4 linked regions of the Notamacropus eugenii genome follow. The protein of the gene in region 4 interacts with the protein of the main gene of each other region in a pairwise test. Links are inferred from orthologs where the notes say so. Each region holds a gene or a part of one and is shown on either strand. Other genes may lie near its edges. The genes, in order: CDC34, C2H11orf68, PSMC6 and SDCBP.

What was found.
Region 1: the proteins of SDCBP (region 4) and CDC34 interact in binary tests that used the Homo sapiens proteins (3 or more experiments, as listed by UniProt). The two-hybrid records come from large-scale screens. The link is inferred for Notamacropus eugenii from reciprocal best matches to the Homo sapiens genes SDCBP and CDC34.
Region 2: the proteins of SDCBP (region 4) and C2H11orf68 interact in binary tests that used the Homo sapiens proteins (3 or more experiments, as listed by UniProt). The two-hybrid records come from large-scale screens. The link is inferred for Notamacropus eugenii from reciprocal best matches to the Homo sapiens genes SDCBP and C11orf68.
Region 3: the proteins of SDCBP (region 4) and PSMC6 interact in binary tests that used the Homo sapiens proteins (3 or more experiments, as listed by UniProt). The two-hybrid records come from large-scale screens. The link is inferred for Notamacropus eugenii from reciprocal best matches to the Homo sapiens genes SDCBP and PSMC6.

What each region holds. Positions count from the first base shown.
Region 1 is NC_092875.1:69,196,646-69,204,092, reverse strand, and holds the start of CDC34 (ubiquitin-conjugating enzyme E2 R1), read right to left. Parts: upstream 3,004-7,447; 5' UTR 2,163-3,003; coding exon 1,986-2,162; intron 1-1,985. UniProt on the Homo sapiens protein: E2 ubiquitin-conjugating enzyme that accepts ubiquitin from an E1 ubiquitin-activating protein, and catalyzes its covalent attachment to other proteins by an E3 ubiquitin-protein ligase complex. In vitro catalyzes 'Lys-48'-linked polyubiquitination.
Region 2 is NC_092873.1:18,628,290-18,635,616, forward strand, and holds C2H11orf68 (UPF0696 protein C11orf68 homolog), read right to left. Parts: upstream 3,009-7,327; 5' UTR 2,915-3,008; coding exon 2,808-2,914; intron 2,150-2,807; coding exon 1,402-2,149; 3' UTR 326-1,401; downstream 1-325. Other genes in the region: DRAP1 (dr1-associated corepressor), read left to right, coding at 3,442-3,483, 3,832-3,904, 5,234-5,327, 5,705-5,824, 6,770-6,860, 7,060-7,148.
Region 3 is NC_092872.1:326,077,990-326,085,594, forward strand, and holds the start of PSMC6 (26S proteasome regulatory subunit 10B), read right to left. Parts: upstream 3,005-7,605; 5' UTR 2,849-3,004; coding exon 2,722-2,848; intron 2,709-2,721; exon of another isoform or gene 2,336-2,708; intron 1,791-2,335; coding exon 1,711-1,790; intron 1,634-1,710; coding exon 1,594-1,633; intron 519-1,593; coding exon 466-518; intron 1-465. UniProt on the Homo sapiens protein: Component of the 26S proteasome, a multiprotein complex involved in the ATP-dependent degradation of ubiquitinated proteins.
Region 4 is NC_092875.1:277,130,406-277,138,349, forward strand, and holds the start of SDCBP (syntenin-1), read left to right. Parts: upstream 1-4,929; 5' UTR 4,930-5,153; intron 5,154-7,944. UniProt on the Homo sapiens protein: Multifunctional adapter protein involved in diverse array of functions including trafficking of transmembrane proteins, neuro and immunomodulation, exosome biogenesis, and tumorigenesis.

The sequences.
Region 1 (7,447 bases), about 210 Mb from region 4:
GAGGAGTGTGTGCATGTGAATAAAATAAGGGAATGTAGTGTGTTTCTATACGAGACAGGGGAACTTAGTGTGATGTGCGTCTAAGAGAGAGGGGAACCATGTGTATATATGGGTGTATGTAAAAGATAGAGGAATTCTAGGACATATAAATGCTGGAAAAATCTAGTCTTTGTATATAATACATAGGACAACCTATTCTCTGTGTACATGTGCTATGTGTAAGAAATGATGAAATTGCTGGTGTGTTTGTATGTAAAAGATGGAAGTATCTATCTTGCCTGTGTGTGCATGTGTGTAAGAGATGAGAGAATCCATCCTGTGTGCATATAAGATGGGAGATCTATCATGCATGTGTGTAAGAGATGGGAGAATCTATTCTGTATGTGCATGTAAGGGAAAATATCATGCAAGTGTGAAAGAGATAAGACAATCTATTGTGTGCTTGTGTAAGAGATGAGAGATCATGCATGCGTGTATAAGAAATGAGAATCTATCATGTGTGTGCATGTAGAAATCTATTCTATATATGAGATAAAGATGAAAATATATTGCATGTATGGAGAATCTAGCATGTATGTATGTGAGACTAACATATACAAAAGAACATATTATAAGGGAAAGGTAGACACATAACATAATTGTTTATGTTGTATATATGTGGATTCTATCAGGTACGTATGTGTGTTGTTGTGTCTAGGGAGAATCAATCACCTGGGTGGATAGAAAATCTATCTTGTGTATGTTGGAGAATACCATGTACATGAGGGCCTATGTATATCTGGGAAAAATCTATTGAGTGTGTGTATAGATGGGAGACTATCATCTTTCTTTTGTGGGAGAATCTTCTTTTGTGTGAACATGAATAAGATGTGAAAATCTATTACAATGCTTGTGAAAGAGACAGGAGAATCTATCATGGAGTAGGCACGTGTGTCTCTACAGTAGTACGTATATGTAGACTGTCATGTGAGAATGTGCTATATATACACACGTGTAAATGTGTGAGAATTTATTCTTTGTGTGTTCATATATATGGGAAAGATTTGGCCTGCATGTGTGTGGGAGGGGGGAAAGGGAGAAAAAGAATCTACCTTGCCTGTGTCTGCAAGTGTGTTATAGAATCCAGTCTCCATAAACACAAAAGAGAAGATAATCTATCTTGTATATATGTATGTATGTATGTATATGTATATAAACATATATGTATAAATAGAGAAGGGAGGTTTAATCAACCCTTCACAGGAAAGAAATGCTAAGAATCTACCATAGGAGGATAAAATAAAAAAGAATGGGAACCAATCATCATGTGTGGTGTGTGTAAAAGAAGGTGGGAAACTATATATATATATATAGGGACAGGGTAAAAAGGCAGAAGAACCTGCCATTGGGTGAAATGGGAAATCTACAAAGGAGGGGATAAGAGATGGGGAAATCTATCATGAGGAGTGGTGGTAAGAGATGGGGGAACCCACCTGGTGGGGAGATAGAGAATCTACTATGGGGGAGAATAAGAGACGGGGAATCTTCCTTGGGGGTAACAGATGTGAGAATCTACTGTGGAAGGTAATACATGGGGAAACCTACCATGAGGAAGGGGGCAAGAGATGGAGAATCTACCATGGTGGGGGGAGATGGGGGAACCTTACCATATGCGGGGAAAGAGATGGAGAATCTATTACGGGGGAGGACAAAAGATGGGGGAACTTACCATGGAGGTGGGATAAGAGATGGAGAATCTGGGAGAAGGGTAATAGACTGGGGAATCTACCATGGGAGGGGTAAGAGATGGGGAGTCTATCATGGGGCAGGATAATAGATGAGGAATCGGGGGGGTGGGGGTAATCGATGGGGAATCTAGCATGGCACGGGGGGCAGAGCTGGGGAACCTACCACGGCGTGGGGGGGAGGCAAAGGAACCCCACGGGGTGGCCGGGTTCTCCGGGGCCTGGCTCCCATGTAAGAAGTCGGGCTGCTCCCTGCCTTACCTTGAAGTAGCCGCCCTCGTAGTAGGTGTTGGGGGGCCCGAAGATGGCCACCTCCCAGTTGTACAGGTCGCCCTCGTCCACCAGGGTCACCCGGAAGCCCTCGACCGGCTCCTCCTGCAGCCCCTTGAGCTCCAGGAGCAGCGCCTTCTGCGAGCTGGGCACCAGCGGCCGGGCCATGGCGCAGGAGGCGGAGGCAGTGGCAGCGGCAGCGGCAGCGGCAGCAGCGGGAGTCAGGGAGGCGGCGGCAGCGGTGGCGGCGGCGGCGGGGGCCGAGGTCGAGGGGCCGGGCTGGGCCGCGTCGGGGGAACTAGGCCGCACGGCCGCCCCGGACTCGCGTGACGGGCCGGGCCGAACTCTCTGGGCAGGGGGGGAGGAGGAGCCGCCGCCGCCACTGCCGGGAGCCGCCGCCTCCGAGCCCTGAACCCCCGAGCGCTCCACTCGTTCTGGATCCCCGCTCCCCCCCCAGCCCAGCCCAGCCCGGCCCCCCGCTCCGCCTTCTCCTCCCCCTGCCTCGCCCTCCCTTCAGCCCGCCCTCAGCCGCCGCCTCCTCCTTCTTCTACTTCCCCTTCCCCTTGTCTTCAGGCCGCTGCCCGCGCGGGGCACGCCGGGAACTGTGGTCCGCTCCGGCCCGCCGGCGGCGGGGCGCCTGCGCCGGGCTGCCCGCCTGTCTGCCTGCCCGCCCTCCCGCTCTGCCTGTCTAGCCCTCCTGCTCTCCTGACTATTTCTGCCCGCGCCTGCGCCTGCGCCTGCGCCTGCGCCACCCCGTCGGCTACCGCGAGCCCGTTCCCCCCCCTCCCGACCGGCCTATCCTAGGGGGAGAGGAGAGGGGGGCCGAGCGCGCAAGCGCGCCTCAGCCGCGATTGGGTTTCGCCCCCAGGCCGAGGCCGCAGCCGCCCCAGCCGGGACTACAACCCCCAGACACCTCTGCTGGGGGGGGAACGCAGGGACGGGGGGCTGCTGGGATGGGTAGGCGTTGGAGCCCGTGGCGGCCCGTGTGGTTGGGTTTGTTGTTTTGTTTTGTTTTGTGTTTTTTTTGTGACGTCCTTCACCCCCTCACCTGAATTGGTGAGGGCGGGGCTCGGGTAGTAGGCGAGTAGGGACGGGGCACAGGGAAGCGGGTCAGCTCAGCTGGGCCGGACCCTGGGCCCATCCGACCCAACAAACTTTTTTTTTTAAAGAATTTATTATGAAGGAACAGGGCGTGTTTGTCCGGGAGAGGAGAAGGCCGGGGCTGGAGATTTTGCAAGGCTTGAGGCAGCCGCCGAGTCCAGCTTGGCCCTGGAGGTCGGCTCTCGAGGCAGCAGACCTGCCAGGGCCGGGGGCGGGCCGGGGAGGGGGTCCGGGGGGGAGGAGTAGTGGTGGGAGGGGGGGGTGGCCCCCGCCAGTAGAGAGCTCCCCGTCCCTAAGAGGCTTCCAGAGAAGCCGCGCGGTGCTGCACGCGCGCAGTAGGGGGTCCCGGTTCAGACCGAGCCCAGGCTAGGTCTAGGTCCCCGCCAGCCTCCGCCCGAAGGCTGAGCCTGGTTAAGGACTGGGCTGGGGTGAGGACGAGCCACCCTCCTCCAGCCCTCCGGCCCAGCTGAGAAGCATGCCCCGCAGCCCGCACGCGGGACGCACGCACGCGCGATTCCGTGCGGTGACTCGGGCGCCCGAGGCTGCTGGAGGACAGGCTTTTGTGCTGTTGTCTCGGGCTGCCCAGCGCGGGGCCTGCCCGGCACGTAGCAGGCGTGCAATTGGAATGGGGCTGTTTGCTTTGGCAGCGGGCGCTCGCTCGAGGAGGACGTGCCAGGGTGCCCTTGGTTTCTGGGCTGGGACACACATCCGGAAGGATGCGTGCAGGGGAGGGGGGGCGGGGCTGTGCCCAAGCATTCTTGTCCTTGGTGCCTGTTGACCCACTGCTGAGGACTTCGCTCCAGTGCTGATGACCCCTCTCTCTATAAAGTATCAGTCATCAGTGCTTCCCCCAGTGTAAAAGGGCCTTTGCTGTAGCACTGATGAGGTCTCATGCACTGCAGTGTGAACTCCCTTTCATTTTATTTTTATGCCCCCTTGAACGGGGGAGATGCCAGCACTGCCAAAACAGGTCTTCAGAGCGGGTCAGCCAAGACAGGCTGGTAATACCCACTACATGTGGCAAAATAAACAAGCCGTCCCTCTGCCCTAGCGCAGTGCATTCAGGCAGAGGGAATGAAGCCACTGTTTGTGGGTCCCTTCCTCCCTTTGGGCCTCAGATCAGCATGGTCTGGGTGTGGAGAGGACACAAGCCTTAGAATCAGCAGAGACTTGGATTGGAACCCCACTTGCCAATGAGTTGTATCACCGTGGTTGTCCAAGGGACTAAACTTTTCTGAGTCTCAGTCTGTGAAATAGGGATAATGAAATCCATAGTACTTATCTCACAGGGTTATCTAAAGGATCATATAATACGTAGAAATATGTCCACCTTAATGGCCTGTACAAATGACAATTATTGTTTCCTCTTCTGTAAAATGAGGTAGTTGGTTTCTAAGGTCCCTTCCATCCTGAACACCCTTGGTTCTGCAAATAAATGCAACAAACTCTTTTATCCAAAAGAAAGAGGGGATGATCCTCCCTCCTTGGGGGTCTTCAAGCAAAGGCTGGAAGAGGCCTTACTGGGTTTGCTAGAGAGAGAATTAATGCTTCTGCCTGAGTTAAACTAGTTGGTGCCTTCCAGCTGAGATTCTGAGATTCAGTACCTGGCCAGTATAGGGGGAAAGACAAAACAGAGACAAGAGGTGACTGATGAATCATCTTTCTCCTGCCCTTGGAAACTTACAGCCTCGGCACCTTGCACATGAACATGGTAAGATTACGTGAGAGGGCAAGAGGTAAATAACCTCAAGACAAGAAGGGAGGAATTGTCACAAAGCCGGATATGATTCACTGGAAGATGAACTTGGTGGTGGTGTAGGAGTTCAGGAAGGGGGAAATCAAGGAAGGCTCAGCAAAGGAGGTGGTTTTCAGCTGGGCCTAGAGGGATTTGGATAGGTTGAGCATGTGGGAAGGCAGTGGAGGAACATTCTGAGAAAGAGGAAGGGGAGATTGTCTAGAGGTGGACAGCGTGTTTTAGAGGCTGGTAATAAACCAGTCTGACTGGAACAGGAAGATTCCTCAGAGGGAGGCAGGGGAAGATAAGTTGGGTAGATGGGTTTTTTTTATTGTTTGTTTGTTTGTTTTTAATAAGGCAGTTGGGAGCTATTGAAGGTGTCTGAATAGAAGAGGGACATGTTTTGAGAAAATATTTCTGGATCTATGAAGAATGACTTGGAGGGACAGAGATCAGAAGCAGGGAGGCCAGTAGTTCATAATGAGAGAGGATGAGGAGAAGGGTATTTATAAAATGCATACTATGTACCAGGCACTATGCTAGGCACTTTAAAAATATTATCTTATTTCTCAATGGGTGGGGAGGGATGGGAGGGAAGGAAAGAATTTGGAATTTTTAAAAATTGTTTAAATGAATGTTAAAAATAATATTTCTAAAAGAGACATTTGATCTCACAACAATTCATTTCATCCTCATAACAATTCTGTAAGGTAGGTACTATTTTTATCCTCAGTTTTTCTGACTCTTCATGACCCCATTTGGGGTTTTCCTGGCAGAGATACTGGAGTGGTTTGCCATTTCCTTCTTCAGCTCATTTTACAGAGGAGGAAACTGAGGCAAACAGGGTTAAGTGACTTGTCCAGGGTCACACAGCTAGTGAGTGTCTGAGGCTGGATTTGAACTCAGGAAGATGAGTCTTCCTGATTCTAGACCCAATACAATGTCTACTGTTCACTACCTAGCTGTCCATTTTACAGATGAGGAAACTGAAGCAGACAGAGGTGATGTAACTTGCCCAGAGTCACACCTAATTGAGCTCAAATTTGAACTCCGGTCTTCTTGCCTCAAGGTCCAGTGCTCTAATAACCTATGATGATCTAGCCCCTTCCATGCATTATTTCAATTGGTCCTCAAGATAGTCCATGAAGCCTGTATTGCAAGTTATCCTTATTTTATAGAGAAGGAAACTGAAACTCAGCAAAGTTAAATGGCTGGCCTAAGGTCACACAGGTAGTAAGTGTCAAGAGGCAGAATTTGAACTCAGATCTTTCTGACTCCCAAGTCTAGCACTCCAGCTACTATGTCACATTGTCTTTTGAGAGGAGAAGTGTTGAGGGTTTGGAATCAGCAGGACTTGGTGATGGATGAGATGTGAAGAAGAAGAAGAAAGAGGGGGCAAGCTTGGGTGAATGCAGTGGCTGGAATAGAAATAAGCACGTTAGGAGGAAGAGCTGAATTTGGATTTTAGACAATGATTGAAGGGGCCAGTAAGAAGGCAGAGCTGTGCAAGATGTAGTTAAAGCATGCAGGAATGTAGCTCTGGATAGAGGCAGGAGCTGGTTGGGCCACAGCTCTGTGTCACCCAATATAGGGGATAGTTAAAAATAAGGGAGATTGTAAAGGGAAAAGGACCCATATGGACCAAAATATTTATAGCAGCCCTTTTCGTTGTGGCAAAAAATTGAAAGTTCAGGGGATATCCATGAATTGAGAAATGGCTGAACAAATTGTGGTATACGAAGGTAATGGAATACTACTGTTCCATAAGAAATGGTGAGCAGGTAGATTTCAGAAAATTCTGGAAAGACTTACAAGAACGGATGCTGAGTGAAGTGAGCAGAACCTGGAGAACGTTGTACACAGTCATAGCAACATCGTGTGATGACCACGTTTGATAGACTTCACTCTTCTCAGCAACATACTGATCTAAGACAATTCCAAAAGACTCTTGATGGAAAATGCTACCGACATCCAGAGAAAGAACTCTGGAGTCTGAATGCAGACTATTCTCTCCCTTTTTAAATTTTTTCTTTCTTTTGGATTTTCCTTTTTGTTCTGATTCTTCTTTCACAATATATCTAACATGGAAATGTGTTTAATACGGTCATACCTCTATCAGATTGCTCATTGCCTTAGGGAGTGGAGAGGAGAGAGGAAGAAGAAAAAAATTTGGAACTCAAAATCTTATGAAAGTGATGTTGAAAACCATCTTTACATGTAATTGGAAGAAATAAAATACTACTAAGTGGGGAAAGTACTAAAAAGAGTAATAAAAATATCTTAATAAAAAATAATGAAGGAGACTGTCAAAACATAGAATGTGGAGAGACAAGGGTCTCCATAGCATTCGCAGAATCTCGGAGCTGGAAAAGATCTTAGAGGCCATTTGGCTAATCCATTCATGAACAAATGCAATCCAAGCCAACAAACATTTATTAGGTGCCTGGTGTGTTTAAGACCGGTACCCTACTAAGCATGGGGAATAATGAAAGACAAAACAACCACAACAAAATAAAAAACAGTCACAGTCCTCAAGAGGCTTATATTACACTTGAGGAATCTGTAGGATCCAAGCCCTTGACCTCAGAGGCCATCTGGATCCAAGCTCTAGGATCCA
Region 2 (7,327 bases), on a different chromosome or scaffold from region 4:
AAAAGCTCCTTGAGGGCAGCAGGCTGTTCATTTTTCTTTTTATGCCCAGCATGGGGCATAGAGCCTCGTGCCCATTTCTGGGAACATAATAAATGCTTGTTGATTTAAATTAAGTTTTGCCCTGAGAGGCAGGAGAGAGGTTTGGATTGGAAGCTAGAAGACATAGGTTTGAGTCATGTGACCTCTGTGCCTCAGTTTCCTTATCTGTAAAATGGGGATACTCACTACGCTCCCTACAAGGCTGTTCTGGGGATCAAATGAGAATATACTGAAAGCTCTCTGTAAACTACTACGTGCCTAGAGGTACCACAAGGCAGCGAGCAAAGTTGTTGCAGGACTCAGTCAGTCAACAAGCATTTATTCAGGACTCACTAGGCACCAGGCACTGTGCTAAGTGCAGACAAAGGAAAGCTGTGGAGACAAAGAAAAGCAAAAAACAGCATCCCTCCCTCCAGGGGCTCACATTCAAATGGAAGAGACATCGTATTAATGACTGGGACACAAGATATATACAGTGTAAAGGAAAGGAAGGCAGTGAAGGTGCTGGGGAAGGCAGGAGGCAGAGGTTGAAGAAAGAGCACTGCAGGCACGGGGCACAACCAGGCTTTGCAAAGGCCTGGAGTTGGGAGGTGGTACCGCCTGTGCAAGAACAGACCAATACCTGGATTATGAGATTTGAGGGAAGGAATAAAGTGTCAGAAGACTGGCACTTGTGAGGGGCTTTCATGCCAGAGCATCATCAAGCTGATCCTGGAAGTGGTGGCTGAAAACCAGAAGCACACAGTCAGGCTTGTGGCTTCCTTGGTCCCAGCAAGCCTCCTAACCCCATTCCTCATCACATCAGAGCTGACCAGCTGCCACCTGGATCTGACAACCAGAGGAGCAGGAGGGAGGGGTGGGCTGAAAACAAAGGTGGGCTTTATTGAAGCCAGGGAAGGAATAGTAGAGGAACGGGTTGTAGGAACTGCAGGCAGAGCAGGGAGCAGCAGGCACCTACCCCACGGGCCCCCCCTGCTGGTGGCCCCGTCCACACTCAGGACTACCAATCCCAAGATGCAACACTCCACCAACTCCTAGGTGCTTTGCCATCCAGGGATGGGGTGGAGTAGCTCTAAGCAGGTGGAGGGAGCCCAGTCAAGGCTCTGGGCAAGTAACTGAAACTCTGAGGAACAGGGTCCCGTTGGCCCTCCATCGACTGGACCAACACAGGGAATAATGTCACGTCTCTGCCTCCCCTCCTTTCCTGAGGCCTGACATTGGTCCCCAAAGCCAGGAAGGCAGACCGCCCTGCCATGGGGACTGATTTAAGAGCCAGAGAGCTGCCCCAGAGGGCCGGAATGATTGTCTGTGCCTTCCCCACCCTAGATGTCTTGGCTCCCAGCACCCGAGTGCCCACCCCCCCTAAGTCAGTGCTGTGTTGTTGAGCCTGTCCAGGACTCGGGAGTAGTGGGGGTCACTCTCCAGGTGGTAGCTGCTCTCATAGAGGGTAGGGCAGAGGTGCCAGCGGTTAGCACGGTAGATTCCTAGGTAGGTGTAGACATCTGGCTTATAGGTCAGTGGGCACTTGACCCCAGCTGCCCGGATGGCGGCATCAGCCTTCAGCACTCCTTCCTGGTCTGTGAAGTCCTCTGTGTAGACACAGATGACCTGACGCTCCTCTTCCTGGGCCCGGGGGCTCACTTTGGCCACTTGTAGCTTCCCCTCCACCACAGCCCTGGCAATGCCAGCCCATGCATGGTCCAGCTTGAAGCCGGGGCTCAGGTGCATCAGCCACTTGCCGGTCAGGACCTGGTGAGTGAGGGCCAACTCCCGCAGAATAGCAGGTGTGATGGGCCGCCCGCTGGCCTGTAGGGCTTCCCAAGCCCCCTGCAGTCCCTGGACATCCCCAGCTCCAGGGGAGAAATCAGGCCCATACACTGCAATCCAGCCCACAGGCTTGGGATTGGGAGCGCTGGGGCCCCCATAGCGAGAGACACGAGAAGGAGGGTAGGCAGCCAGCCAGGAGTCCAGCTCACAAGGCGGGGTGCTGCGGGCATCGAAGACCAGCCAGGGGTCCATGTCGGCTGCCATGGCCTCAGCAGCCAGATGCTCGGCCGTGAAGCCATCCTCCTGGCCCCCAGGGGGGATCTCTTCCTCCGGCAGCTCCATCCTGCGGGGAGGAGGAAAGGTGAGGCCCCGGAACCCCCACCTGCGAGCTGGGTGCCTGCAGCAGGGTCAAGAACCCCTCCCCCTGTAAAGGATGTCCCTTGCAGTGCCATCCTACCATCCCGCTCTTTGTGGCCCTTTAGGGACAGAGGGCGGGGTGTCCCAGTGGGTGGAGCGCCGGCTCGAGGCTGGGAAGCCCCGAGTTCAAATGCGGACACTCACGTGGCTGCTCCCTGTCCCGGTATCCCCGTCAGTAAATCGGGATGATGCTAGCCCCTGCCCCTCCCCAGGGGGTGGGGAGACCCGAATGAATGAACGCAGGGAAAGCGCACGGCAACCCCCGCTCGGCCCTGGCTGCTAGAGGACGATCCCAATCACTAAGCCCCCGCCCCCAGCTCTTAAAGGAGAGAAGCCCTCGGATGGATCCCAGCCAAGTCGCCAGCTCGCCTTCGGGGAGCCACAGTCGGCCCCGCCCCTCCGGCTCCTCCGAGCCCCGCCTCCCCTCCCCCGCCAGAGGAGGCGCTCGCCGCCGCTCGCCTCTTCCCCGCCCCTCCCCCCGGCCTTGGCCCCTCCCGGCTCCCGTACACGCCCCGCCACGGCCGCTGCCCTGGCCCGAGTCTCCGGTCTCGCGACCCCGCTGCCTGCCCTCAAGAGCCAGTCACCTCCGCCTCTCGCTCCTCTCCGTGCCAACCCGGCCTGGCCCCCGCTCTCTCCGGGGCTCTTCTCCGCCGCGGGCCCTCCGCTCCGCCCACCCTACGGCCGCCGCCATCTTGGGCCGCCTGCCGCCTCAACAACAACTTTATCGGCAACCGCCGGCCGCGGTCGTGGACAGCCAGGACAGAGGGGGCGGGGGGACGGGGGAGCGAAACTCCTCCGGACGTGGCAGAGGACGCGACCAATGGGAAGCAGGGCCCCTCCGCGGAGGCGTGAACTCGCGGAGGGCGGGGCCGTTGAAGGCGTTCCTCCCGCAGCAGGGAGGCGGGGCGAACGTCGTCCTCCGCGGGTCTGTAGGAGGAGAGGTGCCGGAGCGAAGCGGCCGCGAGGAGCGAGGCGGGGCGGAGCGTCCGCGGTGGCGGGGGCGCTAGGACCCGGAGGAGCGAGCGGCGGCTCGGCGCTAGGACCCGGAGGCGCCGGAGAGGCCCGGCGCTAGGACCCGGGTGGGGCCGCAGCCGGAGCCGGAGGAGCCGCGGCGGCGGAGCCCGAGGAGCCCGAGGAGCCGGGGCCGGAGCCGGGCCGGGGCCGGAGGGCCGAGGCCGAGGTGCGGCGAGAGCAGCGGCGGCAGCAGGAGGCCACGAGATGCCGAGCAAAAAGAAGAAATACAACGCGCGCTTCCCACCGGTGAGGACCCGGCCCCCGCGGCCGCCCCCAGCCCCGGCCCCGTCTGGGCCCTCCTGGCCCGGCCCGTAGCCGCCCCCTCCCTCGGGTCCCACCCCGCCCCGCCCAGGGATCCCGGGGGCCCCTCCCCCAGCTCCTCCCCACCCTGGGACCCCCGCCCCGGCCCCTGCCCCTCCCCCGGCTCTCGCTCCACACCTGGGCCCCCAGCGGTCCCCGCTCCCGTCCCCGCTGCACCACCGGGCCGCCCTCTCCCCCGGCCCAGCGCCCGGACATCCTTCGATGATGGAGGTTCCGGAGGGGGGTGCCCTGGTACCCCTCCTCGAAGCTGATCTCTGCCTCCCCCACCCCAAGGCCAGAATCAAGAAGATCATGCAGACGGACGAGGAGATCGGCAAGGTGGCGGCGGCTGTGCCAGTCATCATCTGTATCCTGGGCCGCCGGGGAGGATCGGGGACAGTGGGGCTGGGGCTAGGAGGTCGAGGGCAGAGGGGCTGGGGGCTCAGGAGGCCGGGGACGGTGGGGCTGGGGCTAGGAGGTCGAGGGCAGAGGGGCTGGGGGCTCAGGAGGCTGGGGACAGTGGGGCTGGGGCTAGGAGGTCGAGGGCAGAGGGGCTGGGGGCTCAGGAGGCCGGGGACGGTGGGGCTGGGGCTAGGAGGTCGAGGGCAGAGGGGCTGGGGGCTCAGGAGGCTGGGGACAGTGGGGCTGGGGCTAGGAGGTCGAGGGCAGAGGGGCTGGGGGCTCAGGAGGCTGGGGACAGTGGGGCTGGGGCTAGGAGGTCGAGGGCAGAGGGGCTGGGGGCTCAGGAGGTTGAGGGCAGAGGGGTTGGGGGCTCAGGAGGTCAGGTACGGTGGGGCTGGGGGCTAGGAGGTCGAGGACAGAGGGGCTGGGGGCTCAGGAGGCCGGGGACGGTGGGGCTGGGGCTAGGAGGTCGAGGGCAGAGGGGCTGGGGGCTCAGGAGGCTGGGGACAGTGGGGCTGGGGCTAGGAGGTCGAGGGCAGAGGGGCTGGGGGCTCAGGAGGTTGAGGGCAGAGGGGTTGGGGGCTCAGGAGGTCAGGTATGGTGGGGCTGGGGGCTAGGAGGTCGAGGACAGAGGGGCTGGGGGCTCAGGAGGCCGGGGACGGTGGGGCTGGGGCTAGGAGGTCGAGGGCAGAGGGGCTGGGGGCTCAGGAGGCTGGGGACAGTGGGGCTGGGGCTAGGAGGTCGAGGGCAGAGGGGCTGGGGGCTCAGGAGGTTGAGGGCAGAGGGGCTGGGGGCTCAGGAGGTTGAGGGCAGAGGGGTTGGGGGCTCAGGAGGTTGAGAACAGAGGGGTTGGGGGCTCAGGAGGCCGGGGACGGTGGGGCTGGGGGCTAGGAGATCGAGGACAGAGGGGCTGGGGGCTCAGGAGGTTGAGAACAGAGGGGTTGGGGGCTCAAGAGGCCGGGGACGGTGGGGCTAGGGACTCAGGAGGTTGAGGGCAGAGGGGCTGGGGGCTCAGGAGGCTGGGGACAGTGGGGCTGGGGGCTCAGGAGGCTGGGGACAGTGGGGCTGGGGCTAGGAGGTCGAGGGCAGAGGGGTTGGGGGCTCAGAAGGCCGGGGACGGTGGGGCTGGGGCTAGGAGGTCGAGGGCAGAGGGGCTGGGGGCTCAGGAGGTTGAGGGCAGAGGGGCTGGGGGCTCAGGTGGCCGGGGACAGTGGGGCTGGGGGCTCAGGAAGCCAGGGTTGAGGGGCTCAGGGCTCCGTCAGGCTTCCCTGATTTTTCTTGACCAGCTCCTCAGCCAGGGCATTAGAACTGTTTTTGGAATCCCTTCTCAAGAAAGCCTGTCAAGTGACCCAGTCTCGGAATGCCAAGACCATGACCACTTGTCACCTGTGAGTCCTGCCAGGGAGGCCCCACTCTGCTCCCCAACTCTGGCTTCCCCCTTGGTCCCATAGGACACATTTCCATTCTCCTTCTTGCCCCACCCTCACCCTTTCCCTCTGCCTCCCTCACCTTTGAAAAGATCATCTGATTCAGAATCAAAAGACCCACATTGGAATCTCTGTTCTGCCCCTGACCTCAGCCAAACCTGTTCTGGGCCTCAGTTTTCTCTGCTGTAAAATTAGGGGGTTAAATTAGAAAGCTCCTAAGGCCCCTTCCAGTTCTTCATCCCAAGAGCTTCTGTTGCCCTTCAGTTCCCCCCACCCCCAAGTCCCCCTTCCTTTGGAGCCTGAAGGAGGAGCTCAGCCCCTGTTATCTCCCATCCTAGGAAACAATGTATTGAATTGGAGCAGAAGTTTGATTTCTTGAAGGACCTGGTTGCCGCCGTGCCCGACATGCAGGGAGATGGAGAAGACAATCACCTGGATGGGGAGAAAGGAACCCGAAGGTAAGGGGCTACAGTAGGACATTCCCCCATTCTCCTCTGACCCACCCTAGCAAGGTGTTGTGTTTCAGAGAAAATATTTCCAAAATCTAACCAGCACCATATACAAAGTGGAACAGTCACAAAATATTTATTCAGCTTGCTATCGTGTGCCAGGCACTGTGAAGCCCCAGATCTCTCTGTCTGTCTCTGTTCATCTCAGGGCATCCCCCCACCCCACCTCCTCCCAAAGAAATGTCCCATAAAACAGATAACATTTTTAAAGAGACAAAATCAGCAGACGCGATCAAATCTTACAAGTCTGGGAACCTACAGCACTCCAGACCTGTGCACCTCTGCCTCGGTGAAGGGAGGAAAGGGGGAGGGAGGCTTCCTTTCTTTATGGTTTCACTGAAGTCCGGCCAGTTTCCCTTGCCCAGTTGCTGCACTGTTGAAGCCCACCCACACCTGATTCTCCTCCTTTCTTAAGTTCATATAAATCTTCCCAGAGTCCCTTTTTTCACAGCACATGGTATCCCATTATACTCACGTCATACTTTGTTCCGCCCTTTCCCAGATGAGGGGCTCCACTTTGGGTTCAGAACTAAGCAAGCTGCTGTGGATGCTTTTGTATACAGTGTGTTCTTTTCAGTGGTGTAGATGAGTCCAAAGGGTATGGATGGTTTCATACCTCTCTGACCAAAGGTCTGAGCTGTCCTGGGTCCCTTGGGAATAAGAAGGTTTCAAAGCCACTGTGAAGAAGCACCTTAGGGCTTTCCTGGCCTGATTCATTCGAGCCTCACAGCCGAGCTGAATGGAAACGTCTTGAAGTCAGACCCTGGTGTTTTGTGTCCCCTGTAACCTTGCGCATTCATAAATGTCCGTGGGACTACTCATGGTACTTGCTGTCCCCTTGGTGTTTCCACCTTTTAAAGTAACCTTTAAGGGCCTTTCTGGTTCTAATTCTAGGGGCCGGAAGCCTGGGAGCAGCCGGAAAAACGGTGGTGCTGGAGGAAAGGGGAAAGATAAGAAGCAGTCTGGGACAGACTCGGAGCAGGAGGTGAGCTAGCCCCATCAGACTGTCAGCTGAGGACAGGACCTGTCTCCCTTAGGTCTGTCCAGTGACTGAGCCCCAGGCTTCTGAGAGGAGGCCATCAATGCCTTCTCCTCTCCCTGCCTGATATACCTGGGCAGTCAACATGGCCCCTTCTCCCTGAGCTCAGGGGGTCTGACAGCCTTTTCTGTGATTCGTCCCACAGGATGATTCTGAAGACACAGAGACAGATGGGGAGGAGGAGATGCCACAGCCCCCACCCCAATCCAGCCGGCCCACAGCCCAGTTCCAGAGGTGAGGTTGGCGACCTGGAGGCAGGAGTGGGGAGCATTGTAGGTGGGGGGGAATGTGGCTCAGGCTGGGGGTTGAGGGGATCTGGCTCAACCCAGTACCTGTCTGTAATGTCCATACCACCAACCTCCCAGCACCCATGGTTCTCTAGGGTTCTGGTCTCGAGGATGCCTGTGCAGTTA
Region 3 (7,605 bases), on a different chromosome or scaffold from region 4:
AGGAAAGGATATATAGTTAGTAGTGTCAAAAGTTTCTGGGAGGTTAAGGCTAATGACTGAAAAAAAGCTATCAGATTCAGTAATTAATAAATTACTGATAATCTTAGGAGAGATCAGTTTTAGTATAGTAGTGGGATCACAATTCTGACTGCAAAAAGTCAAGAAGTGAACAGGAGGTAAGAAAATGAAAGTAATGGCTTCCTAAAGTGAACAATAAATTTGGCTTCCCTGAATACTATAAACCTTAATACTGCTTTGAAACGTAGGATTGGGAATTAAGAGTTTAAATCCTAACTTGTAACTAGCTGTGTAATTTTGAATATCACCAAACTTCTGCATGCCTTAATTTTTGTATCTAAAAAAATGGGAGTAGCTCTAAAATTGTATTATTTCTAAATTTATGATATTTATTCATTTATTCACTGAATATTTGGTCAAATAAGAAAAAAGGTAAAACTGAATTACCTGACGCCGACAACCCACAACATATCTTGGTCCATTTGTTGCTTTAACAATGACTAGAAAAGAAAAAAAGGCCATAATTATTTTTTAAAGACATTTGCAAGAAGCAATTTGGAACAATACTCCAAAAGTCACTAAAATTGTGCATATGTCTTCATCCCAATATCCTTATTAGGCATATACTCAAAATTTATTTTTTTTAAAAACAGGAAAAGGTCTTCTTTATATGTACAAAATTATTTACGGTAGCACCTTTTATATCAAAAACCTGGAAATAAAGTGAGTGCCCATTATTTGGGGAATGGCTAAACAAATTCTGATACATAAATATAATGGAATATTATCCTGCCAAAAGAAATGATGAATGGGACAGATTCTGAGAAACCTAGAGGAAGTGAACAAAGCCAGAAGAAAAATTTATACACTGACTACAATGTGAGGACAACTGTGAAAGACTTAAAAACTCTGATCAAGGCAGTAACTAATCACAACTCCAAAAGTCTAATGATAAATCATATTTTTCTCTTTTGGCACAGAAAAAATAGACTGTAGGCAACTGAATGAGATATGTATATGTGTGTGTGTATGTGTGTATATATATATGTATATGTATGTCTGTATGTCTTCAGACCAACCAATACAACACAAATTCATTTTGTTTGATTATATTCATTTGTCACAAAGCCGCAAGTCATGAAAAAAAAAGAAAAAACATCATCCAAAAAAATAAAGAAAACATCATCAAAACATACACATTAAAGCAAGTTCAGATGGGGACACATTCAAAATGGGCAATGTGGGTAATACTATGTTAAAACTGAAATACGCAAAAAACTACAAAGCTATATGTGGTACAGTTTCTTTTTTCTGACCTTGTCATATATGGAAAATCCATGTTTGTGATGTCAAGTTCATAATATGGATATATACACATGTGTATAATGTTTTTAAAAAGATATCTGTAGGAGGGAATGTTACTTTATTTAAATCATCCAAATTAAAAATGACAATTCAGAAACCACTACTCGAAGAAAAACCAGCTTGTCAAATTGTTCTTTCAAACTATTCGATATATTTCAAAGGAAAAGCATATTTCTGTATGTATTTTGTATATTTTGACCATCTACTTACATTTTTCTTCTGTTAATTGTTTAAGTACTTCACCCACAATCTACAAAAGAAAAAAAGTGTCATTATTTAATGTAATTACCTGCAGTAGCCAAAATTACAACCAAATCAACAACTTACCTGCCCAACACTTTGCAAGGCCTTCAGATCATTTTCAGACTTTTCATATTGCTTGGTAAGCTCTTTCAACTGTTCTCTTACTGAAATAAAACAACTAGCATATTAAACAATTGTTTTATCAAATGTATCTGTGACATCTCAAATTTCTTATTAAAATACCGATAGATTGTACAAAGAAACATTTATTAATTTGTCTGTTTCTAATGAATGATTGTTGATTTTAAGTCAAGTAGCAACCTGACTTTTAAGGGTTATGTATTCGATGATCTTAGTTTCCACTGGCTAATGGGTTTTCTTATCAATGGTTGTTTACATATACTGACAAATTAGGAATGATAGTTTTCATGCCTCCAATTCAAAGTATATTGCATCCTCATCATCCTGTAACCCAAGCACAAGATTCTGCTATTCCGATCAAATGATCAATAAAAATAAGATGTGTTAAAAAGAAATGCTGACATCCCTTTCGTTTAGGAGATGAATGGTCGGTAAAAAAGCTAAGTGCATTGAGAACGGGTGACAGGGTCCAGCACAAGAACCACAAGTCTTGATTGTTTCTGCCCAGAAGCACACGTACATCCCCTCAGCTGAGCTGCGTAGCTCTCGCCGTGCCCCGGCGTTCTGCATTCCAGAGCTTCCCTCCTTAAGCCCCTGCAGCTCCCGTCCCCTTCGGGGCCTAGAGCAAGAGCCTCTGCCTCCTAAAGTGAGTCGTCCTCGGGCCCAGGCACCTTCTCCACTACGCTCGGCCTTCAACTGCAGCGGGACAGGCCCTTTCCCCCTTCTCCGCCCGTCGGGTGGGCTTCCTCCCGTGCCCCCGGGGCTCGGTCGGCATCCCCCCCCCAGGCCGCCGCCGGCTCGGAGCGGCCGCGGCTCGCGGCACGATGACAAAGCGCCTTGTGCTACAGCCCGGGTCTTGTCGTTCAAAAGCCTGCCCAGAAGGTGGCCTCCCCTCGGCGAAGAGAGGAGCAGGGAGAGCGGGCCCCAAAGTCCGTACCAAGGTAGAATACTTACACTCTTTGAGGCGCCCATCGATCTCCTTGTGCTCGAGCAGCTTCTTACGGTAGTCCTGAAGAGCCTTATCTCTCGGGTCCGCCATGATGAGAAGACGCCTCTCATAGGGGATGCTGGGAATGTCCATGGCCGCCGGGGCGGGGGGGAGAGGGGCGGGGACGGGAGGGGAGGAGGAGGGAAAAAAGGAACTGACACGATACGCCCCGCCTCTCTACCCAGGTTCCCCCCACCCACATCTCCTCCTCCTTCCCCTCTTTTCCCACCTCCCACCCTCTTTCCCAGGAGGCACTTCGGCTCTCTCCGGGTAGGCAAGACTCCTCCCCCGCGCGAAGCTGAGCTGCTGACCTCCCCGTACACCGTCCCCTTCTGGTAAAGGCTGCAAATAGCAAGAAGCCGCTCCTGGGCGTCCTCTGAGGCTTCAGACATAGCCTGACTCCTGCCTCTGGAAAAGAGAACTTTGAGTTAACAGTGACTGAAAAAAAAAATCAGAGAAACAAAGAACGTTTTTTCCAAACATGTCTCGGTTGCCAATCATCTTATACAACAGCTTAACCTTATTTTTCAAGCGCGTGAGGCTCTTTGTAATAGTAGTTGATAGCCCCATTTCTGAAACTTAGGGTTTTTCCCCTTTGCACACAGCTAGCATCATTACTAATTTCCTAGGAAATCAGGAAAGGCAATAATCCTGAGTCAGTGAACAGTGTCTATACAGCACTTGCTGACACAGCACTTTACATACATAGGCACCCTCTTAGACCTCCCTTCCCTGCCTCAGTGGCCCTGGGAGACTCTGCCACTGCACTCCGTGGGTCTGTATTTCTGAACTCACCACAATCCACCCCCAAGGGCTCCCCCCAAATGCCCTCCCCCCTTACCCTTCTGTAGTTAGCCACAGGACACAATTTGTTGTGGTTCAGTTCTGTCGACTGGAGAGCCAATTTGGGGTTTTCTTGTCATCTCTACTGGAGAGGTTTGCCATTTCCTCCTCCAGCTCATTTTACAGAGGAGGAAACTGAAGCCAACAGGGCTAAGTGACTTGCCCACGGGTCACACAGCTAGTCAATGTTGGAAAGCACATGTGGAGTGTCTTCCTGATTCCAGGCTCAGCACTCTATCCATGGACCCACTGCACCACCTAGCTGTCCGCAGGATACAATTAGCTCAAAGCAAAGGCATGATATGAAAAAATAGCGACACAACTTCTTCATAATCCTGAGAGGTATCATGACAGCAATATAAACAGCAATAGTAGGAAGACTGGTCACTTCTTGTGGAAAGCACATAAATAGGGAATGTGTTACTTAAACAATTTAGACTTCCAAAGTCTCTCCTTGCTTGATGTCTCTCATGAAGTTCTCACTGCTCTTCATGGGACCTCTGCTGGGTAAATCACTATGACCACCAGGAGTTTCAGTTCTTAGGCCTGATACTTGTTGAGCAGGATTTCAGCTTCAAACACCAGCCTCTCAATTCTTCTTGCCAACTTGACTCTTTACATGTACTCCTCTCCAACTGACATTACCACAATGTTTCTGCTTATAAGATGTCATTGTCAATGGAGGGATGGGAGGAAAGAGAAAGAATCCTCCCCCCACCCCCAGCTTTCACTGAGGCACAACAGAAAAAGTGAAAAGCAAATTGTCACTTCACAGCTGACTATTGCTTTTTTAAAGTCCACCAGGGGCATGACTGATCCTACAGACAGATGATGGCTGTATTTCTCTGTTTCATCAGTTGTCTATCCTTTGGTCAGTGCTTTATAATTCCATCAGGTTTACTGAGGAACTTTTTTCTCACTTTGTAACTGAGTTATTTAGGCAGCCTCCTTGTATTCTATTGTTTGATTTTTTTAGAAAAACTCCTAAACACTTCTGGTAACCATGTAACCGCAGCTTCACCAGCCCCTTCCATAGGGACTTAGATACTGTTACTATATCTTTAATAATGAATGGAATCTTGGGGAGTTACTGTTTCATCTGTTATCTGTGAGAAGTCTATGAGTGATGACTTTTACTTTAATGCTTATTCTGGAGATACTATTAACTGTGATGCCTGTGGAGGACAGAATAAAGTCTTCTTTCCTGAGAGGGAGTGATGTAAATGTCAAGGAGAAAAGGTCTAAAGAGGCATTTCTTGTGAGGATTGAGTTTAACTCTTGTCTTGGAAATAAATATTATGAAGTTAATTCTTGGGAAAAGACTTTGGCATTTAATAAGGAATTCAGGATGAGCAGGGAAGAGAGTTTATACTACTTTCTTCTCACTTCTCAACCCCTGGCATCTAGCTTCTGACTTCATTATTCAAGTGAAACTACTCTCACCATAGTCACCTCTAACCTCTAATCAACTATGACTCTTCCACTAACTAGCTATGTAATTTTGAATTTCCAGTTGGATTTGGAAAAGTGATTCATTCTGGCTATGGTCTTCCTGTCTCCCAACAGATACATTGTATATGATTATTTCTCTTTGTTATGTTATTTGTTACATTTTCATGTTATAATTATAGAATTTTTTTTTAAGACTAGAAGATAATGGGGGAGAGGAGAGGACAGGACAAGACAGGAGAGGAAGTTTATGAGGAAGGGGGTTTGTCCAGTTTAATAATTTTTAATAAATTGAGGAAAGATTAAGGGCTAATTGGCTAATTAGAGGAGTGTTGCAATTTTGGTAATTTATGGGGGAATGTGAGAACATAGCCCTTGATTATCTTAGAAACCAGGATGTAACAATCAAGTAGAAGGTAAGAGTGGGTTAGTCATTCCTAAAACCTGTTCATATCTCCTAAAACCCAGATATTAAAACTTATATATTACGTATCCTCTTGAAAATTCCTTTGTAACTCTTGTGCGATACCCATTCTCTCCTTTACTCCAGTCTCTGCCAAAGAAGTCACCTCTCTTCTTGTCAGGGATCACCCTAATATTTAAACCCTTAGTCCCATTCCTTCCTATTTCCTTTGACAGACTGCCCCCATATAATCCTGGACTTATATCACTAAACTGCCTGCCTTTTGGATATATCCCATGAATGTCCTATAAACATGTTAAAGGCAAAAGAGGACTCTTCTTAAACCAGTTCTCCCTAATTTCCTTATTTCTGATGACTAACGTTGTCTTCCTAGTCATCCAGTTTTACAAATTCAGTCAACTTTTATTTCTCACTCTCCCCACCATATTTGATGTTTCCAGGTTCTACAGTATTCTTTGAATCTATCCTTTTCTCTCTTTTTACATAACCTCCATGTAATTCAATCAGTCAACATTGACTAAGTGCTTACTATAAGCCAGAGACACTCACTGTGCTAAAATTTGGGGATAACAAGAAAGATAAAAACTAGACCTTGCCTTTAACAAGTTTATATTCCAATGAAAAAGATAATCTTTTAATTTTTATTTTTTCCTCCAAATTTATTTATTTGTTTTCAATTTTTAACAATTATTTCCATAAGTTTTAAATTTTTTCTCCTTCCCCAAGACAGTATGCAATCTTATATGGGCTGTACACATATATTCTTATTAAAAACATTTTCACATTAGTCATGTTGCATAGAAGAATTAAAACGAATGGGAGAAAGTATGAGTAAAACTAAGCAAAACCAAACATAACAAAAGAGAAAATAGTCTGCTTCATTCTGTGTTCTGACTCCATAGTTCTTTCTCTGGATGAGGATGACATTTTGCAGAAAAAGATAATTTATAAATAACTGTGTACCCTGAAGATAAATATAGAGTAGGTGAGAGGTAATCTCATAAGAGAAGGCACTAGCAGTTGAAGGAAGGTTGTGAGTAGAAGATAAACACTGAGGTGAATCTGGAGGAGTCCAGTTTAACAGCAAGCAAAGTGGGATTTTTTGTTGTTTTCTTTTTGGAGTTCAGTTTCCCAAACTCAGGCTAAATTGAGAACATCTGAAGGCTCAATTTCCTTTGAACCCTGATAGTTCACAGCTGTGCTAAGTCATGTAGGTTTCATGCCTACTGACTTTGAGTCAATCAGGAGCCAAATCTTTGTTATATATACTGGGAGGCTGGTATTTTACTTTGGGGGTTTGCTTATGAGAAGAATCTTGTGATTCCCTGGTCAAGACTCTGAGTCATCATATGTTCAGACCCTCTGACTACTCAGATGTAAAGGCTCTCTCGATCCAAGGGTGTATGTAAAGTATATAGCAATATTGCTTTGATTCAGGAAGTAGAGCACTGTCTGTTGGTCTTTATTTCTCTGTTTATACTTTCTTTGTTTGTATTTTCTGAATGTAATGACAAAGGATTGTTGACCCCTTAAACAGCTATCTTTCCTAGTAAAGTAGATCCAAAAACATATGCTAGCAGCCATCCTGAGTATACCAGTGTGGTTACTTATACATTCAGAGAAGCTAAGAGCCATAGGTGAGGGAGCAGAGTATTCTGGACATGGGGAGCAGCCAATCCAAAACACAGAATCCAGAGACAGAGTGTTGCATGTAAAGAACAAGATCAGTGTAACGGCATCATAGAATACTTGAATGTGTATAAAGTATAAGAAGACTGGAAAGGTAAGAAGTGCTGTGAAAAGTTGTAAAGAGTTTCTAATGCTGAGTTCCAGGGTCTAAGGTGGCAGAGTAAAGAGTGAATCACTGTCACTCTCCTATGATCACCACTGAACAGCCATAAAATAGTGCCCCAGAACAAATTTTGGAACAGCAGACCCAGTGGAAAGATGGGTTACATCTTTTAGCCTGGGAAACTTGAAGGATCAGTAAGAAAGGCCTGTCTCACTAAGATAAAAGGGGAGCCTGTCTAAGGACAGGAAGTAGCCCCACAAGCCCCATCTCAGAAATCTAGTGGGAGATTCTGAGCCCTAGTGTGGTAGAGTAGGCAACCACCAATACAAGGACCTCCTTTAT
Region 4 (7,944 bases):
CACAGATTAACAGACAGATCCAGCTGTCTGAGCATACTTACATAGTTACCAGAGAGAAGCACCAACATCTGGGTTTTCAAAGTGGGGGGGACTCCCTAGTGGTTGCCCAGAGTCTCATCTGGCCAAACACTTCCAATAAGTAAGCCCCAAAGTTAAACCTCACTTCAGAGTATTTATAAACTTTTCAGAGTCAGAGGGCATCACAACCCTTGAGAACCAGTGCCTCTTTATAAATTAAGGAAAGGTGTGGGTCTCCCCTAATCAAGTTTCTCTTAATGGGCAGGCCCATCAATGGGTGGGGAAGATCTTTAACTCTCATTGGCATTACAAGATCACAGCTGAAAAATGCTATTCCTTATGTATGCATATGTATGTATGTATACACATACAAATGATATATATTTTGAAATAACTGATTATAGAAGGCTACACCTCAATTTTCTAAAGGCAACATTTTCAGGGGGAGGTAAATCCAGCCTATATTTTATCAATACCATAATCCAAATGTGTTTTTTCACATACCCTTGATTTCACAGAATTATTTATCTCAGAATTTCTTTTTAAAAATTTACTACTTGTCCATTTAGACTATACACTCAGTTTTTAAAAAAAATGCTTTGTATGCAACTTTTCAGTAAATTACTCATCATCTAAAGTGAGAAACAGTTCGTATATGTGGAAATAAGTATGTTGCATGCTAGTCAGCTGAGTAGTGGTTTTGCTGTCTTACAAGGAATTGTTCATAATGCTATATGAAATTGCACATAGAGAAAAATAATTTTTTAAGACATTGTTATCATGCGGAGAGACTGTGGTTGATTTGTCATGTGGCTGGCATTAAAAGAAGGAAGGAGTTACATAATCTTACAGATCAAATGACCCGCAAATAATTAACTTTTTAGTAGTTTATTCAAATGAAGACAGAAACCTACAGAACAACAGTCAAAATTGTGTTATAGAATTAGTATTTCAGGTACTTTGCAAATAAAAAAATGAAAATCTTAATTCTCAAAACTGTAAATAAATGTGTAACACAGTGGAGCTTTTATAAAGAGGAATATTTACTTCACTAACATACATACTCTCTGCCTCTCCCATCATGGAGATGCATAATTCCTCCTCCCTCCATACTACCTCAGTCTCTGGGGACAGGAAGGTGATTAGGTTTATAGTTTGGATCCAGTTCCCTTAGAACAAAGTCTCAGGTCAATGTCCAAACGCTTCACTTGGGCTCCAGTCCAAGGTACCCTGGGTTCTGTGGCTTCCCTTTACTGGAGTGGGGGGGTGTAGTGTACAGTTGCACTATCCTACCTGCAATCCTGGCTCCAAGGTGGTTATGGCTTGAACTCCTGGTCCTCTGGGGATCACTTCTAGCACCTGAAACTAGAGACAAACAACAGAGAAGAGAAACAAACACCCTTAGATCCATGTCTTAGAGCCAGAGTAAAAGAGGAAGTGTAGGGGCAAACATCCAGGCTAGGAGTAGCAGCTAGGAGCATAGACAAAAGATGGGAGAGGGAGGAGTAAGAGAGAGAGGACAGAGAGAGACAGAGAGAGACAGAGACAGAGAGAGACAAAGAGACAGAGAGAGAGAGGGAGAGAGACAGAGAGAGAGACAGAGAGACAGAGAGAGAGGAAGAGAGACAGAGCGAGACAGAGAGACAGAGAGAGAGACAGATAGACAGACAGACAGAGAGAAAGAAAGAGAGAGAGGGAGAGACAGAGACAGAGATACACAGAGAGAGAGACAGAGAGAGACAAAGAGAGAGACAGACAGACAGACAAAGAGAGACACAGAGGGAGACACAGAGGGAGAGAAATAGAGAGCCAGAGGAGGCTACCCCACTTATGTGGCAGGGGACCCCATGAGCTCCATGAGCTTCATGTCAGACAAGCCAGGCATGTTCAAAAGCCCACAAACATTGCAAATGTTTATGAGAATTATTCATGTAATGAGTGTGAAGAGGGAAACCCTTTGATCGGTTAGACTAGGGTACTACCTGTAGAGCTAGGCAGGTGCTCTGTTTCTTTTCTGTGGCCATGTACTCTAGCCTGTTTCTGAAGGACATAAGCTTAATTGAGAAACTGTAGCAACACTTGATTGGTCACCAATGATGGGGATTGAGTGAAAGTCGATTGTCAGGAGCAGGAGGAGTTGTATATTTGGTGGATTTTAAGAGGAACTGAGAAGAAATAACTCATGATCTTTTATGGATATGGGAATCTTCCAGTGCTTGCCCTCTCTTGGATTGCCAGCAAGGGGAAGGTGAAGAAGTTCTATCTTCGTCCTAGCCCAACGGCAATGATGACTGCTATCATATGGCAACAACAACATGGTGTTTGCCTATGTGAGCCTGAGTCCTTAACTACTTTTTACTTTTTGTTTTTCCCCTGAGCATAAAATATATCACTAAACCTGAGATATGGACATTTCTAGCCCTTGCTATAAACTCATGAAGTAAAAATGCTGAGAATTATTCAGCTGAGTGATAGCTGACCACTGGGAGGTGATTACCATCGTTACATCTCAGAAGAGAAGAAGTACCACTACCAAGAAGTACCACTACTACAGAAATGCATAAAAAACCCAAGCTATACCTTGGATGGCCAGGAAATTTGTTGTAAGCAGCTCATACCGTGCAGGTTTGATATGCAAACAGAATGTGGGTTTCAGCAGTTTCACAAAATTGTCTTTACCTCTGGGAAGAGAGTAATGTAAGAGACAGGATATTATTTTATGTTTCTGCATTTGTTGATGTGTACTTGCGAGTCTTTTGTGTTTTAAGCACTTTCAGTGATGGTAGAAATAAAAAAAAAATCTTCTCAGTAGGTTTCTACATATTCATAAAATATTCAAAATTTATACTGGTAGAGCCCTCATAGTATAGTACTTCCTCTGGTCTGCTCCCTCAAATAGCAATCGCGAGCTGAGATCACTGAGGAATAACTACCCCAAGTACAACATTTTAAGGGTCCTCACTAGTAGCTTTATGCCTTATAAGCCTCTCCTGAAGTATTCTTCTTCTTAGCTACCTAGAGCACACAATGAGCAGATAATAAAGGAATTGCCCCAGCTCACATAGCTAAGTACAGTAGCAATAAAATGTCCTCCACAAGCTGGGGCATACTCTCCCATAAATATATACTGCATCAGTGCATAAACTTTACAAATAGAATGGAACACAAATAGGGAACCCAAGTGACCAATGCAATCAATACTTCTGGTGCTACAGATTTCCAGTGTCTTCTCAGAACTTCCTGGAGTTGTTGTCCCTCCAGGAGCACAGTATCACTTTTTGGATGAGTTTCCCTTCTGGGCCCCTTAAGCTTTGGGTGATACTCAATAGATCTGATATTTTGCTGTAGTCTCCACTGTCTCTGCCTTTGGACTCAGCCGTAATCGTGGACTAAAGTACAGGTATGCAGTTTGGGGCAGAACTGGAATCCATACTGTAAGATTCACTGAAGCCATCTCCTAAGTAGGATCCTGTCTCCAGCTGCCATATAACTCCTGTTGTTGACTACCATGGACCCTATACTTCCTGACACTGCTAAGTGCTTCTACTTCAAGATGCCATTGTCAACCACGTGGGTGGGGGTGATTCTTTCCTTTCTTTGTGGCACTCTCCAAGATGTACAAGGGAAAATGTAAAGAATGAAAATCTCAAAAGCTGAGTGCTTTCTCCATAACCAACTCTCTTTTGTTCTTGATCCATCTGTTTGCTAGACAGCAGGCTTGGCTCTTGCGCCTCAGGTCCTTCCTGTTTGCCCAAGTCAAAGAGTAGACTACATAACCTTGGGCGAATCACTTACCTTTTCTCAGCCTCATTTTCCTCACCTGAAAAGTGGGAATATAACAGCACTTACTTTACATAAAGGGTTGGGAGAATCAGATGAGTAGGAAGTGCTTTGTAACCCTAAAAGGACTACACAGATGCTAGCTCCTATTCTCGTTACTCTTATTGTTATGCAGAGGAAAGGGCACGCTTATCTTTCCCAAACTTTAACCTAGTTCCCTGTACAAATGGGCTGTTCAGAGTCTGAAGAGGGCACCTCACTACCAGCAGCCAAGTGCCTGACAAGGCTGTGCCCTTTCACGCCTTCCAAGCCATCACTTCCTCCTTACATTCTAAAGTCTCCAAGTAGATGGGGAGCAGAGGCAGAAGTCAATTGTCCTGGGGTTCCTTGACCAACTCCTTTGCTACATTCATATTTTACCTATAATAAAATTATAAGTTGCTTAACATACAGCCGCAATTTGCATTTAGCAGCTAATTAATGATTAGTACTCAGACTTGGGTCCCCTATTACAGAGGGGCTCTGGGGATCCGGGCAATAAGAAGACAGTAAGTGGGGGAAGGGGGGTGTACTCAGACATCTTGATGAATTCGGTTCGGGAGCCTTCCTTAAGCCAAGGCACTGTGCTGAGAGCTGGGTACACAAAGGCAAAGGACGGCCCTCACCCTCAAGGAGCTTACGGGGAGACGAACGTGGACAAGGCACACCACAGCCAGGACCAAGGAGACCTAACTAAGAGGAAGAAAGCACCGGGATAAAGGGGGTTCAGGAAGGCTTCCTGCAGGAGGAAGCCGGAGAGAGGTGGTCAGGGCAGAGACAGGAGATTCCGGAATCCGGGGCGTCGGGAGCGCTTCCTGCGGAGGGGGCGAGTTTAGTTGGGAGGTCAGTGGTCGGATCAATCAACATTCATGACGCGCCCGCTGTGTGCCGGGCGCCTCCAAGGTAAGGATGGAGAAAGCGGAAAGCGGGGAGTCTCCGTCCCCAGGGGGTCGCGGATGGTTTTCCGCCTCCTGCAGGGGCTGAAGGACGCGAGCCAGCGAAACGAGCAGAGGGGACAGTGGCTCTATGCCAAACCACATCCCCTTCCCCCTCTCCCAGCCTCTCAGGCTTAGCCCCGCCCCAAGGTTGTCTTGGCAACCCCGAGGGCGGGGGAGAGTGACCGAGGAGAGTGTCACCTGACCTGGATGTCGGAGAGTGGTCTGCGCAGGCGGGGGGCGGGGCTTAGGGTGGGTGACGTAACTCCCCCGCTGACTGATTGCTCGGTTCCCGGACTTCTCCCTTCCCTGAGGATCGGGAAAACCGTTGCTGGGAAAAGCAGTTGAGACCCGTTGGAGGAGACAGCGGACGACGCTCAGGTGGGCGGCAGGCTTTAGGGGGGGCGGAATGGCAAGGTGACCCCCCCGTCCCGGGCTCGGTGGGTTTGGGGGCGAGGATGGGAAGCCGTAGGACTCACCCCTTGGGGCTGTGAACCCCCGGGGCGGGGCGGAAGCTGCGCTGGGGCTTCATCCGCCCCCCCCCCCAGGAGCCGCGATCCGAATGGGCCCCCGCCCGGGGCTCGGGCTTGGGGGGGGGGGCGCGGAAAGCCGCCGCCCCCGGGGCAGAACCAAGGGGGGGAAGGGCGTGGGCCTCGGGGCACCTCCTCCCGAACCCCCGTTACCTGCGAGAGGCTCAGGAACGGGGGAGAAGCACCCCAAAGAAGCCGGGCTGCGGGCTCGCTCCCCGCCTCTTGGTGGGGCGCCTGGGGCCTGGAGGGGGTGGGGGGCTTGTTGGTTCCGTGGGCGCAGCTTCGGCTGGGGACGTGGAGATGACCCAAGCCTTGGCTCGCCGCACAGACCTTGACTTGGGAGAAGGTGGATCCGGTGGAGGGCACTGCCGGGTGTGGGCGCGGACAGCCCAGAGCCCTCGGCCCTGGGCCCCGGAGCCTGCCTTCCTGACCCGGAGGGCCGGGGGCCGAGAGCCGAGAGTGGTTGTTGACAGTCTTTAGCAGGCGCTTAATAAATGCTGATTGAAGTGTAGAGGGGACTCTTACAACACGGGCTTTTCATTTCAACCGAAATGACAGAGTTTTGACAGGAAATTCCAAGGCTATTTCAAAAGTCTATGTTTCTGGGGCGTATTTTGTGCCAAATTGTAATTTCTATTAATATCTGCGGCTGGCCTCTAGTTGAGGGAAAAGAATACTAGTGACTTATAAAGGGAAAAGTTTTAAATGAATGACCACTCATGGTAGTTATTAGCACAGTTTCTGGCACATAATAGGCACTTAATACAGTGTTAGTTCATTTGACATGTCTTTTTATAGGCTGCAGTTCTGCCTCAAGTATATTTTATAAAGATTGGGTAGTAGCCCTACCCACTGGGTTTAGGGTTTCCTGTTACGCTATATGCAGAAGATGTAGAGAAGATCTTAGTTGTCTAGTCGTTTCATTTTTTTTCTCATCCTAGCTTGGGACTAAAAATGTAGAAAGATAAAAATTGTAACTTCATAGTTTGTTGGTTATCACCAATGAACTCTTAGAGAGCCTGGTAGCCCTACAAGACATTTGAGCTAAATAGTACAAAAGTAAGCAGTATAAAAATTTTAAAAAATTCATCAAGCTTTTCATAAAGATTATTCGGTAACCATAAAATTGTAACCTAAACTAGATTTTGGCTGTTAATTTCTGGTCTTTTTTTTTTCCAAGATACTGGTAGGAATGGTAGTATACCGTACTCCCCAACCAGAATGGGAAAAATCTAATAATAGTAGATAGTTACTGTAGTTAATAAACTATCTCCTTAGAGTTGACTTATCCTCCAGATTTTTGACAGAATTAGGTAGGTGAAATCTATTTTTATCCTTTGGCACTATGTAACCATAAGAAAGTCAATTTAAGTCATTTCTCTGGGCCTCAGTTTTCTTTATCTGTAAACACAAATAGCTGCCATTTCTCTTGTGATCTAGAGTTTGCAAAGCTCTTTACATTCTCACTAAGGTTTTTCTGTTTTGTCCATCTTAAAGAGTATGCTTAAGAAAAACATGAATATCATTTGGGTGCTAGGTTGAAGCAAAAGAAATACTCAAAGGGAATATTAATTGAGACATGAATATATGAACTTACCTCTTGGAACAAGAGTCTGAAATGAACAGGACCAGAGATCTTGATCTTGAACTTTAGAGCTCATCCTGATACAACCCCTTCATTTTACAGATGAGACAGATACAGAGAAGTAGGTTAAGTCTCTTGACTTAACGAAGATCACTAGTGAGCTGGATGAGAAAACAGATGAGGAAATGGAGATGAAGTGATTTGCCCTGATCACAGAGCTAATAACTACTAGCACTGCAAAGTCTAGCACTATTTCTACTATACTCTATTGTCTTTTCATAGTCTAGTTTAGATATGTGGAACATGGAATTTGTTTTTTAAAAAATTACCTTTATGGAACATTAATTCAATTATATGTATATCATAGTTTTCTATTGCCCTTTAGGAAGTATTTATTTTTTCAAAGTTATAGACAAATGAATAGGAAAATGTTTTTTGAGTATGGTAGGAGAACCTTTGGCTTTGGGGTCAGAAGACTGTCACATAGTACCTATGTGACTGGGGGCAAGCCAATTAACCTGCCTGTGATTTACTTTCCCACATTTATGAAAGGAAAGGATTGAACTAGATATTTTCTGAGGTTATTTCCAGCAATATGATCCTATTCTTTCTCATCACTTGTTCCAAGAAGGAAGGTCATTATTCCCTCCTATCCTCCCCCTTTAGTATATCTTTTGTTCCAAGGTCGCACAAAGCTTTCATAATGATGTTTTTATCACGTGAATATATGCTGACATTTAAGATTTGTTGGATATTTCTGGAAATATTTTTTCTGATGGTTGCTTTTAGGCCAGTGGATCATTTGTTAGGTGTCAGGGGTAAACCAGTTTAATTCTAGGTAAGTGGAGAGAGAATATCCCAAGAAAGGAGTGGGTCTGTCTTCTATTCTTGGCATGTTTGTAAAGGTAAAATCTGGTTTAAATGAATGTCAGAGGAATCAAAACCTAGAACATAAATATTAAAAATAACAGTGAGTCAGATAAATGCAAATGGGAAGACATGTTACAAAAGGGAAACTATCCGAGGAAGGTCTCTCGGATTGATAGGTAGGGAGGTT